3 linked regions of the Coturnix japonica genome follow. The main gene of each other region encodes a partner of the protein of the gene in region 3 in a complex. Links are inferred from orthologs where the notes say so. Each region holds a gene or a part of one and is shown on either strand. Other genes may lie near its edges.

What was found.
Region 1: the proteins of SYT1 (region 3) and CPLX1 are in contact, whole or in part, in a crystal structure (PDB 5W5C), measured with the Rattus norvegicus proteins. The link is inferred for Coturnix japonica from reciprocal best matches to the Homo sapiens genes SYT1 and CPLX1. Residues at the interface, in NP_001028852.2 of Rattus norvegicus: Glu271, Thr383, Gly384, Glu386, Thr406, Leu407, Gln408, Glu412, Met416; in NP_074055.1 of Rattus norvegicus: Val61, Met62, Gly65, Asp68, Lys69, Tyr70, Lys74.
Region 2: the proteins of SYT1 (region 3) and SV2A are in contact, whole or in part, in a crystal structure (PDB 4V11), measured with the Homo sapiens proteins. The link is inferred for Coturnix japonica from reciprocal best matches to the Homo sapiens genes SYT1 and SV2A. Residues at the interface, in NP_001129277.1 of Homo sapiens: Thr291, Lys314, Lys326, Lys327, Lys328, Glu342, Ser343, Phe344, Ser345; in NP_001315603.1 of Homo sapiens: Asp82, Thr84, Glu85, Gly86, His87, Asp88.

The regions. Positions count from the first base shown.
Region 1 is NC_029547.1:46,352,337-46,356,562, forward strand, and holds the start of CPLX1 (complexin-1), read left to right. Parts: upstream 1-1,359; 5' UTR 1,360-1,431; coding exon 1,432-1,462; intron 1,463-4,226. UniProt on the Homo sapiens protein: Positively regulates a late step in exocytosis of various cytoplasmic vesicles, such as synaptic vesicles and other secretory vesicles.
Region 2 is NC_029540.1:401,039-405,295, reverse strand, and holds the start of SV2A (synaptic vesicle glycoprotein 2A), read right to left. Parts: upstream 2,921-4,257; 5' UTR 2,661-2,920; intron 1-2,660. UniProt on the Homo sapiens protein: Plays a role in the control of regulated secretion in neural and endocrine cells, enhancing selectively low-frequency neurotransmission.
Region 3 is NC_029516.1:35,821,837-35,825,406, reverse strand, and holds part of SYT1 (synaptotagmin-1), read right to left. Parts: intron 347-3,570; coding exon 140-346; 3' UTR 1-139. UniProt on the Homo sapiens protein: Calcium sensor that participates in triggering neurotransmitter release at the synapse. May have a regulatory role in the membrane interactions during trafficking of synaptic vesicles at the active zone of the synapse.

The sequences.
Region 1 (4,226 bases), on a different chromosome or scaffold from region 3:
AGAAGAGAGGACGAGGCGCTGCTCGCTCCCTGTCTTCCTCGCTGCCTGACAACTCTTTTCAGGACCTAGGGGACGAGCGGAGATGTCCGGGAATGACCCAGAGCGGAAGACGCGGATCACTCCCACACCTTCCCACCTTTTGCAGGAAGGAGTATTTGCAGACGTTTCCCACACACCCCTGAGGATAACCAAGGAAGCGCTGGCAAAATACAGCGGAGGGCTAATCCCTCCCCCATCTCCGCCAGGCGAAGAGGCAGGGTCCCTGGTGCAGGCAGACAGCGGGAGATGAGGCAGGGGGTGCACACATGGAGTCGCGCACCCCTCCGCGGGGCTGGCAGAGCCGGGGACCTCCTCCGCGGCCAGAGCCCAGGAGCGAGGGCGGTACAGGGAAGGGGCGGGGGAGCGAGAAGCAGGGGGAGGGCGAGAGCCCGGCTTCAGCAGCCGGGGGAGGAGGAAGGAGGGACCGTGTAGGTGGGATGGTCCGGAAATCCCGTGATAAAAAGAGGAGCGCGGGGGAAAAGTAGGGAGAAGCTTCGGACTCGTTCTCTCTCCTCCACTTCACATCCACAACTTGCCCGCTGGCACATGGGTGCCGGTCGGAGCCGCTAGCAGCGGAACGGTCCGCAGCACCTGTCCAGCACCGCACAGCGCCCACGTAGCCAGCGAGGTACAGGCACGGGGTGGACGGGACGGAGGGTGCCGTGCCGTGCCGTGCCGAAGGGTGCGTGCCGGCGGCGTGCGGGAGGGCAGCGAGGAGAGGCAGCTGCGGGCAGGCGGCGGTGGGTGCAGCCCTAATGGCACCTGGGAACCGGAGCCGATGCCAACGAAGGGAGGCAGCAGGCTGCGCGGAGGGGATACCGGGCTGCGCCCGCCGCCGGTCCGTCCCCGGCTCTGGTGGAGCATCTCCCGGGGAGATGCTGGCAGTGCACCGGGATCCCCGGCGAGAGGTGTCGCATCCCCGCGTCCCGCCGCCACGGCTGCATCCCCGCCGCTCATCCTACCCGCTCGCCCCGCCGGGCACACGCGGAGCGTTTCACCTTCAAATGCCCCCTCCGGAAGCCAGGTGGCGGGAGGTGCGGGCGGGGAAGAGAGAAAGTTAGGAGCTTTAACGCTTTCTCGTCCGCGCTGCCGGCCACCCGCACTCTCGGGCCATCACTGCTCCCCTGCCCTCTTGCCTTCCCCCCCTTCCACCCTCGCACTGCCTGGCATCCCCCTGCCTTGTCCTGTAGGGCTGGAGTCCGAGGGTCTGCGGGTGGAAACTTGGCTGGGAAGGAAGGCGGTGGGGAAGGTGGTAGCAAACAGCCGCCGTTTTTCCTCCGGGAGAAACCGCTCCTCTGGTGTCTGTGCCCCTCCCCGCAGGCTGCCCGCCGCGGATTGCCGGTCTCCGTGCATGCGAGGTGTGAAGCTGGGCAGCGCCCCTGAGCCATCGCCATGGATTTTGTGATGAAGCAAGCCTTAGGAGGTAAGTGCAGCCTGCACGTGGGGGGCCTCGCATCGCCCTTTCCCTCTCGGTGCAAGACGTGATGGTCTGCTGAGAGCCTCCGGTGGGGCTGCGGTCGGAATTGCTATTTGGTGGCTGCAGAGGGACATGCCAGCCAGATTCGTGATCCCAGAGCCAAGTGCTGGAAGAATCTGAGCAGGAGAGGGCAGCAACAAGCAGACACCAAAGCCCCATGTCATAGAGGGAGGAATGCCTCCCACGGCAGATGTGCTGGAAGGACTCGGGCTGTGCTGGGACCCTACCAGCTGTGTCCTGCTGTACTGTGCATAAGTGCCGTCTTGCTTTGTACTGTCTTCTGAGGCAGCAGTGGCAAAGAGAGTAGGAAGAATTAATCAGGGGACTCCCAAAGACTGACATTTTTTGGTGGGTGGGAGCCTCTCCTCCATCCTTCCCCTGGACTTTGGGTAGATTGTGACCAATGGCTACTGAAGAGAAGTTTGGTTTCTGTGACCTAGCATTTGGGAAGTGATATTTGTTAATAATATTGCTGCAGTAAGCAGGAAAAAAAATAATGTGTTCCCTCACAACTGATGTAGTTAGGGGACAGACCTTTAATATGGTTTTAATGTATTTCCTTCCATGTGTGATGAGCCTCTTTAACTCAGTGATGAGAAGCAGAAAAAAACAGCAGTGAGGGGAGAGAAATGAAATCCAACACAAAAGTGTTCTGGAGTGAGATTCCTTTTTTTTTTTCCTGTCACAGTTGCGTTACCTTACTGGGCTGCTTGTCCCAAATGCTCAGAAAAAGTGAGATTGTCATTGGAACAATACCGAATACAGGCTGTCTCTGAGAGGTGCTTGGCCTTGGAAGAAGCCACGATGTGTTTCTGATTGTTCCCTCTATTTTACTATACCTGATGTGTGCATTTTTCCTTTTTTTTTTTTTTTTTTTTTTAATTTTTTTTTTTTTTTTTTTTTTTGGGTGGGGGGCGAGCAGGGGGAAGAGGTAAACTGTAGCCATGGGACTGAGAAGATGTCTCATGCGTAGTGTTACTGATACCATATGCTTCAGCACATGGTAGAGACATCTACTGCAGGACAGTTTTATGTGGCATGGAAATGTGTTTTCCATTTTTGCAAGGAATGAACTATTTTCTCACCAAGGGAGCAAAATCTCGTAGTTAAGGATAGAGTGATATCCGAAGTTCTCATTGTGGTGTTTTGAATATGAAGGCCAAATTGAAGATAAAAGGTATCTTCATCTCCTTCTATTTTGTGTGATCAAACTTGATCCTACATAAGAAAATAAATGTTCTTGTGGTAATGGTATTGCATTTCATCACTGTTTGTGCCTATCTGAAAGAGAAACACTCCTGAGGAGGGCAGGTTTTATATAGGTTATCTACACTGTAAGGTTGCTTACACGGAAATGAACCTGGATCTGCATGGTAAAAACAGCCTGTGCAGTTGGAGATCAGGCAGCCCACTGAAGAGAAATAACAGCTTGGAGACTGCAAGGGGTGTGGAGGGTTGCAGAAGCGGAGTAGCAGCTGAGATGCATACTCTTATTGTGGGGTTGTGACGAGCTGGAGTTGGGAGCAGTGTGTGCTTGTACCAAACAGCATTTAATCTGGGCAGACATTCATTCTAACATAATCCTGCGTGGCAGGGTCAGGATTTGCATTATAATAGGAGCTGCTGAGAAGTCAAGTTCAGGAAGGATCTGTTGGTGAAGTCTGGGTATCTCATGTCTGCAGCAAGATGCTGCCCAGGGTGCCAGCTCTTCTGCCATCTGACATAGTATATTAGCAAACTGGGCCTGACATTTGCCCCTTGCTGGATAGAGGAGAAGGCTCTGAGGACTGGTAAAAAAACAGAAAATGTTCATTCATTATGCAGAGATGTATTTTTAACTCAGAAATGGTTTTAAAGAGGGAAAACAGCTACTTCCAGGGCAGATATATCATATCATAGGAAGTGAAGATTCTTTTGGACGCTGGTTTCCCATCCAGTGGTAAAGCCACAACTGATGCATTCATGATCCTTCTGGGAGTTCTCCCATCTCTGAGGCAATCTCTGAACATGCTTCCTGGGTCTCTAGTGGCATCTGACAATCAGATATGCATTTCCTTGGAGCCTTGCTAGTCAGAGGGGTAGAAAGCAGGAAGGTGTTTTAGAAAGCTATTGAGATGAGTTAGCAAGCAAGGAAAGATAGTTATGTTATGTGGTGTAGGAGTCTGTGAGTTTGTGAAACTCTTGAGGATTGGGATGATACAAAATTAGTTTGGCAGGTTATTCTGAAGCAGAATATGTTCATTCCGTGACCTGCAGTTAAAGGGAGTCTGCAGAAGCTTGCTGTGCCTGTACAGTGGACGTCTCTCCTCTGCTGTGCTGCCAGCACTGGGATTTTGCTGCTAGTCTTGGCAGCAGTCATTGCCTGGCTGTTAGTAGGTTTGAGATGTCTTTGCAAATTCTTGGCCCCTTCAAGGTAAAATTCCTGACCCTCACATATGTAGTGGGGGCTGTGATCCAGTAAAGCACTACAAAATATTACCTTACTTGGCCATCTGGTTTCTGTGGCATTTTTATTTTTTTCTCCACTCAGGACATTTCATTGCCCTCTGTAGAAAGTGCCCCCTTGTACTGTTTATGTGGCAGTACAAGCAGCACAGATTTGAAATACAGTCATGGTTCTGATTTGCTGTGTGGGATGACAAGAAGAAAACAAGGGGAAACTTGAGAGCTTAAAATCACTGCTTCTGCCAGAGAAGTGACAATGACAGCA
Region 2 (4,257 bases), on a different chromosome or scaffold from region 3:
GGGGGGGTCCTGGGGTAGCACATAGCTCTGCATTGGTGGCCATTCATAGGCAGGGAGTGAATTGAGCTTTGGGTTGGGGGGCACTCAGGGGGGTCTCTAGGCTCATTCAGCTCCAACCCAACTGCCCAGAGGTGCCTGTGGGTGCTGAGTGGGCACAGAGACCATATATGACCCCCCAGGGAGGCTTCCAGAAGGAGGGGGTCCGGATACACACCAAGGACCCCCATATGGGGCCACCCAATCCCCCATATAGGGCCACCCAATCCCCCATTTGGGGCCATCCAATCCCCCATATGGGGCCACACAATCCCCCATATGGGGCCACCCAATCCCCCATATGGGGCCACCCAATCCCCCATTTAGGGGCCATCCAATCCCCCATTTAGGGGCCACCCAATCCCCCATATAGGGACCACCCAATCCCCCATATAGGGCCACCAATCCCCCATATAGGGCCACCAACCCCCATATAGGGCCACCAACCCCCATATAGGGCCACCCAATCCCCCATATAGGGCCACCCAATCCCCCATTAGGGCTACCCAGTCCCCATATGGGGTCACCCAATCCCCCATTGGGGCCATCCAATCCCCCATATGGGGTCACCCAATCCCCCATTTGGGGCCACCCAATCCCCCATCCCTATGGGCAGCACCCAGCATTGCCCCCTGCAGAACCCAACACAACCTATGACAGACCCCCAGCCCCCAGCGGGGCTGAGCAATGCTCTGACAGCCATGAACCCGCCCCCCTCCTTCTCCACCCCCCCCCCTTAAAATAAAAGGTGCTATTTTTACTCCTGGCAGACCTCCGAGTGTGCCGCAGGAGGCGACGGTCAGCCGTCACAAGCGGTGCTCCCCCCGACCCCCCCCCCTTTAATAACAGCAGGGCTGGGGCTTCAACATAGAGCTAAATTTGGCCTTATATCTCCTATATATCCTATATATATCCTATGGATCCTATATATCCTATATATATCCTGCATATATCCTATGTATCCTATATATATCCTATGTATCCTATATATCCCATATATCCCATATATCCCATACATCCTATACATCCTATGTATCCTATATACCCTATATATCCTATATACCCTGTATACCCTGTATATCCTATATACCCTATATATCCCATATATCCTATATACCCTATATATCCCATATATCCCATATACCCTATATAGCCTATATACCCTATATATCCCATATATCCCATATATCCTATATACCTTATATATCCTGTATATCTGTATATCCTATATACCCTATATATCCTATATACCCTATATATCCTATATACCCTATACATCCTATATACCCTATACATCCTATATACCCTATATACCCTATGTATCCTATGTATCCTATATATCCTATATACCCTATATACCCTATATACCCCATATATCCCATATATCCCTATATACCCTATATCATCCCATATATCCCATATATCCTATATACCTCATACACCCCTATATATCATCTCATATACCTATATACCCCTATATATCATATACCCCTATATACCCCTATATATCCCTATACACCCTATATACCCTATATACCCTATATACCCTATATACACCCTATAGACCCTATATACCCTATATACCCTATATACCCTATATATATTCTATACATCCTATACATCCTATACATCCAGGGCTGTCGGCTGGCTCTGCGCAGACACCCAGGGACAGTGCAGTGCTGGCGCTGCGGCACAATTCACCCCCCCTATTCCCCCCCCACCCCATTAAACCCACCTTCCTCCCCCCCCTCCCAACCTTCCATCCCAGGGCATTAAACCCTCATGGACCCCCTGCCCAACTCGGGTGGGATCCCAAAGGGGTTGGAAGGAGCCGGTGTGCGGCCTTGGCCAGCACCAAGGTCATCTGGTGCGGGGCTGATTCCACGGGGCTGTGACGCATTTTGGCAATAGGGAGCCAGCAAAAAGGGAGTGGGGGGCAGCAAAGAGGAGGGGGGGACAAGCAGATATAATGGGGGGATGGCAAGGTTAAAGCCAGGGCCACCCAAATAATGATGGTGGATCCCTTTAGGATGAGGGTCCTGCTTTCCCAACAAGGCAGAAATGGCACAGATCACAGGCTGGCAAGATGGGGAATGGAAATGGGGGTCCCCCTAAATACTCTCCTGGCTGCACAAAGGCTCAGCCAACCCCATCTGTGATATCAGCCCCGACCCTATACAAGGTTATGGGGGCTCTGGGCCCCTTTATTCCCTCTGAGCACCTGATTGATGCGGCCCCAAACCCCTGGGGGGTTCCTATATTAGGGTCCCCCCCCTTCCTTTCCTTAGAGCACCATGAACATGGCGACATAGGGAAGACTTGGCCCTCCCCAGTGCCCAAGGTCACCCCCCCCCCAAACCCCCCCAGGTTCCTTATCCATCCCTATAATGGGATCCCTGCAGTGCACAGAGCTAACGAGGGGCTCCCGATCGCACAGAGAAAAGCATTGAGAGGTGGAAGCAAAGGATTTTCAGGACAAAATGGCCACAGAGATGAGAAGGAGAAGGTAAAACTCCCCATCCGTCAGCCAGCAAAACCCCGAGGATGCTAATTAAAAGCAGATGGGAGATGAGGATGGGAAGGGAGGAAATAGGGGGGGGGATGCTTTATAGTGGCATCCTTACCTGTGTCAGTGCGTGGTCTGCTCCAATGCTGGATGTACCGAGGAGGATGAAGGATGCTCTGAGGATGAAGGATGCTCGTAGGGATGAAGGATGCTCGTAGGGATGAATGATGCTCGTAGGGATCCAGCAGCAGATCAACCCTCGGGTACCAGCCCGGCGTCAGCGCTGCAGCCTCAGCCACACGCACCCAGAGCTGGGAGAGTCCATTGCGACAGGCAGAGAAGGGAGGCGATGGGGAGGGCTGTGCTATAGCGGGGGGGGCTGTGCTATAGCGGGGGGGGGGCTGTACCGGTGTTGGGGGGGGGGGCCTCTATTTGGTTAAAGCAGAGCCGAAGGGATGCAGCGCTTCATAGGGTGATGGGAGACCCCCCCCGGAGCTCAGGGCTTCAATGCTGGAGATGCTTTAAGGGGGGTGTTGGATGTGTGGGGTGTGAGCTGAGGGTCCCGGCCCCTCGTGGTTTTTTTTGGGGGGGGTTTTGATGAGGAATAAAAGGGGTTTCAAGGCGTTTAGAACCGCTCTGGCAGCTTCTCCCACTCGCTCCCCACCACGGCCGCGGGCAGATGGAAGCACAGCCAGGCAGATCTGAGTCACATCGTCCTCAGGGCTGAATTTCCATCGCTTTTCGGATCGGATTTTACTCCGCCTGGATCGGTTTGAAGCTCTGCCCCCCATCAGGATACGGCACACAACCCTCCTATGGCTCATTGGGGGCTGTGGGGGGGGGGGCACACAGAGCGATGCTTTCCCCCATTCAAGAGCCGGGAGCTCAACCCCAGAGCCCTGCAGGACCCCAAACTCCTTCAAGCAGAGGGTGAGGAATGATGTGGTTATATATATAGATGTGGTTATATATATAGATATGGTTATATATATAGATGTGGTTGGGGGGTCCCCAGCCTGGCAATGGGGCAGCAGAGACCCTCAGACCACACAGAGACAGGGGTTGGAGGGACAGAAGTGGGGCTGATACAAAGCAGGACCAGCGTGGGGAAGGATTGAGATGGGAAAGGACTGAGCTCCCATTGGAAATAAACCCCAACCGATGCTTTGTGGCTGAGTTAACCCAACCCAAAGAGCTGAAGCACAACCAAGGTGAGCTGCAATGCTCCACACCTTCCTTATCCCAGCCAGGGGTCCCTCATATCCCCTCCATGCAGACAGTGGGGAGGGGGCTCTGGTCCCATCCCATCCCATCCCATATCCAATCCATCCCATATCCCATCCCATCCCATATCCAATCCATCCCATATCCCATCCCATCCCATCTCCATCCCATATCCCATATCCATCCCATATCCCATCTCCATCCCATCCCATATCCAATCCATCCCATATCCCATCCCATCCATCACATCCCCATCTCCATCCCATCTCCATCCCATCCCATATCCCATCTCCATCCCATCCCATATCCCATCCCATTCCATCACATCCCATCCATCATCCATCCCATCCCCATCTCCATCTCCATCCCATCCCATCTCCATCCCCATCCCATATCCCATCTCACCCCATCCCACCCCATATCCCATCTCCATCCCATCCCATCCCAATCCCATCCCACTGCTGTTCCCAATCCTGGATGGAGAAAGCATC
Region 3 (3,570 bases):
AAGTACAACTGATCTGTGACAGGAACACATGGCTGGAAATGAAAGGACCCATATTACTGAGGTATTTACAGATACTGGCTAAAGAGCACTATGTGGGCAAATGCAGAAAGGCTTCTTCTTCTTCGTACTTTAATTTAATTTACTTCTTGACTGCCAGCATGGCATCTACCTCCTCCTCGGGCTGTAGGGTGTGCCACTGTGCGATGGGCCGCCTGGGGTTGGCCAACATGTCTGACCAATGCCGCAGCTCTGCTCCAGTGCTGTTGTAGCCCACAAAGACTTTCCCGATGGCATCGTTCTTGCCAATCTTGTCATAGTCCAAAACAGTCACAACAATTTGCACTTTCTACAATGAGACAGAGAAAGACCAGTGAGGGGAGGAGGGCAGAGAGGAATTTCAGCACACACAGTTACAACTGAGTCTCCATAGACACAAATTGAGCAGATGCGTGACTGCCAGAGGAGGCTCCCCCAAACATAAGCAAATTCAAACATTTGTCTTTGCTTCTTGTGAGCCTTCAAGATGTATTTCTACTTAGAACCTCACAGTTAACCTGAAATTCACCCCCTCACATCAAAGAGCTTCATGTGGGAATTAAAGTTGATTTTTTTCCCTTAACAGGTTAACAACGTATATATATATTTTTGTTGCTACTGGAGAAGCAGGCTACTTGAAGTCTGCAGGGCTAATGGTAAGATCTTCAGAGAAACTAAGTAAAAAGTAGTTAAATCAAACACATCATTATTGTATAAATAAATGTTAAAAGGTAGAATTCAGAAATGGCTCTACACCAACTTATCATCTCCAATGTTGCACTCAGTTCTTTCTACTTTGAAGCAACTCCTTATTATCTGTCCTGCATGCAAATCTGCTGTTTTCAAAAATAATTCAGAAGACAGCACACAGAGAGCATTGGTGCTCTGGCACAGGTTGCCCAAGGAGGCTGTGGATGCCCCACCCATGAGACATTCATGACCAGACTGGATGTGGCTCTGGGCAGCCTGGTCTGGTGGTTGGTGACCCTGCACATAGCAGGGGGGTTGAAACTACATGAACATTGTGGTCGCTTTCAACGCAGGCCATTCGATGATTCTATAATTCTTTAACAGCCCTTAAAGCTGCTGTCTACAGATATGTGTACATAACTGTGTGTACAGACACACATACACACACTCATATGTATGTGTACATTATAGGTTTATACAACAATAAAGCAGCCAGGAAAAGAGACTGTAACCCAAGGGAGCCGGAAAAAAGAAGAAGCTGTGGTGTCTTGGGGCTCTGGCACAGCATCTCTATTAGGCACAGGGAGGTCTGGCCTGCAGCCACACTGGTGCTGCAGTCACTTGGCTGTAGGAGCAGTAAGCTCTGGCACACAGAATTGTGAGAGCCCATCTCTCAGAGCTCACACACCAGTTCCTGCTCACTTGGGCTGGGGCACGTTTAGAGGCAGAGTTCAAGGCAGGTGTTTGTGTATGCGTGCACATGTTCCCCTCCATCAGGTTGTTAAGATTTAATGAAACAGTACAAACAGCTTTGTCTTCAGTGGGATGATATTCTTAACTGTATCTGAGACATTAAACAGCCTTGGGCTGATTTTATTTAACTGTAAATGCTTCTCCTTAGGGATTTGCCAGTTAAAGTTGAACATACAGTTCTTTTCCTGACTTCTTCTATCCCCTGATAAATATATATGGTTCCCTACATGAATGTGAGCTTCCTGAACTCACTGAAGAAATGCACTGTAACAGATTTCTTTAATAAACAATCAAACAAACAAACAAATAAATTCTCAAATATCATGTTTTTTAAATTTCAGGTTTTAAATATGTGAATAGTCTGGATTTCTCAGTAGCACAATTAATTTTATTGCTTGCAATAGGATTTATCTTTTTAAAGTAACCCTTAAGCATCTCTGCAAGACCGGACTCACGTGGTCTGTTTTATAGGGTCCATTCACTTACACGACTCTGCAGTTCACTGAGCCAGAGAAAGAAATAATTCCAGCAAGCACTAAAGTATTTATATAGTTGCTGATGACAAAAGGGTGCATCAAACTCAAGATTCTGTCTCCCCAGAGCACTCATGATATATAGCAATATCCTGAAGCAAGTATTCCTAGATGCCAAAATGATGTTTCATTTTTGCTGCTTGCAATACACTCACTTTAATGTTGATGGTACCTCCCCAAATGAACATTTATGTTTTAGATGTATGATACAATCACAGATCTAAAACATAGGCATGAGTACTATTTTTCGGTACAAAAAAAGTTGCCTGCTGCACCTAGAAGCTCGGGGCTAGTTATTATTTGGTTTTTCCTTTGTTAATCATAATGCAACAGTGAGCACTGAAAGGACACTTTTTTGATCTATAAAGATGGAAGAAAATGTAGCTCAGATGGTTAATGCCAAAACGATTTTCACTGTATGGTTTTTGACTTAGACCCGCAGAGAAATGTACTTTTCATCACAGTACTTTTGTACCACATATTAAAGGAACAGCACTGCAAAATCCAACAGGTGCAGCGGAACTCACCACCTCTGTTACTACATACTTGGATTAGCAGTTTCCTTGGCATGATTAGGCATTCTTTGTAATGAATGGGAATGGAGACTTTGGTACCTCTGGATGTGGTCTTCCTTGAAGGTGGTGAAACGTACTTAATTTGACTGAAGGAACAGGATTTGACTTCCCAGTGGTATTCTCCCATTGCCTTTCAACATACCACCTTTTCCTTGTCTGCCCATTTCACTTGAGACCCTAAATCCATTCTTACTGTAACTTAAGTCTAAACAATATTTAAAACACATTTTTTTTTTCTGATGATGAAATTACTACAGTGACTTTAATGAAATCTCTTCTAAATAGTCTTTCATAACTAATTCCAAAATACGCTGGCACAGTACCACAGTCCCTAACTACCGATCATTAAATTGAGGCTATATCCTGAGGTAAACAGCTATAAGTTGCTCTAATAAACTTATCATAAAAGCAGTAAAATTTTAGACAGCTAAACCACAACACTTTTTAAAATGCCTGTGTCCACCTCACTAAGCTGCTTTAGGATTAGAAGGCAAAATGGCCAAGCACCCACAGAATAAGTGTTAAAATGCCAAAGCTCAGATTTGATAACTTGGAGGTATCCATTCAGGTTCCCCACTCCTGTCCCTACTCAGAAATCAAGATGCTTCAGAGAGGCTTTATATGATAGAACTTCTTTAGCTTCTGGTCCTTTGATGCTTGTTCTGAGGTGTTTCACCAGCACAATGAACAGCTTTCGTTAAAATCACTGTGAATTCGCCCCTGTTGGATTTCCTCTTTAGGTCCCGTCCATAGACATTTGTATCTATGCTGTGGGGTATCATAAAGCTCCTAGGAGGGCCAGTCCTGCACTCTAATCACTATTCCTATTGCCTCATCTTATTTAGCTTAGTTATCTTTGTCAGAACCAAGCCAATAAAAGGCAAGCACACAGCCTTTGTTGAAAGGCAGGCCTTAGCTTCTGGACTTCTTTCCAGTTCAGCTGTTATCAGAATGGAAGATGCAGATTCCCAAAGCCCTTACCA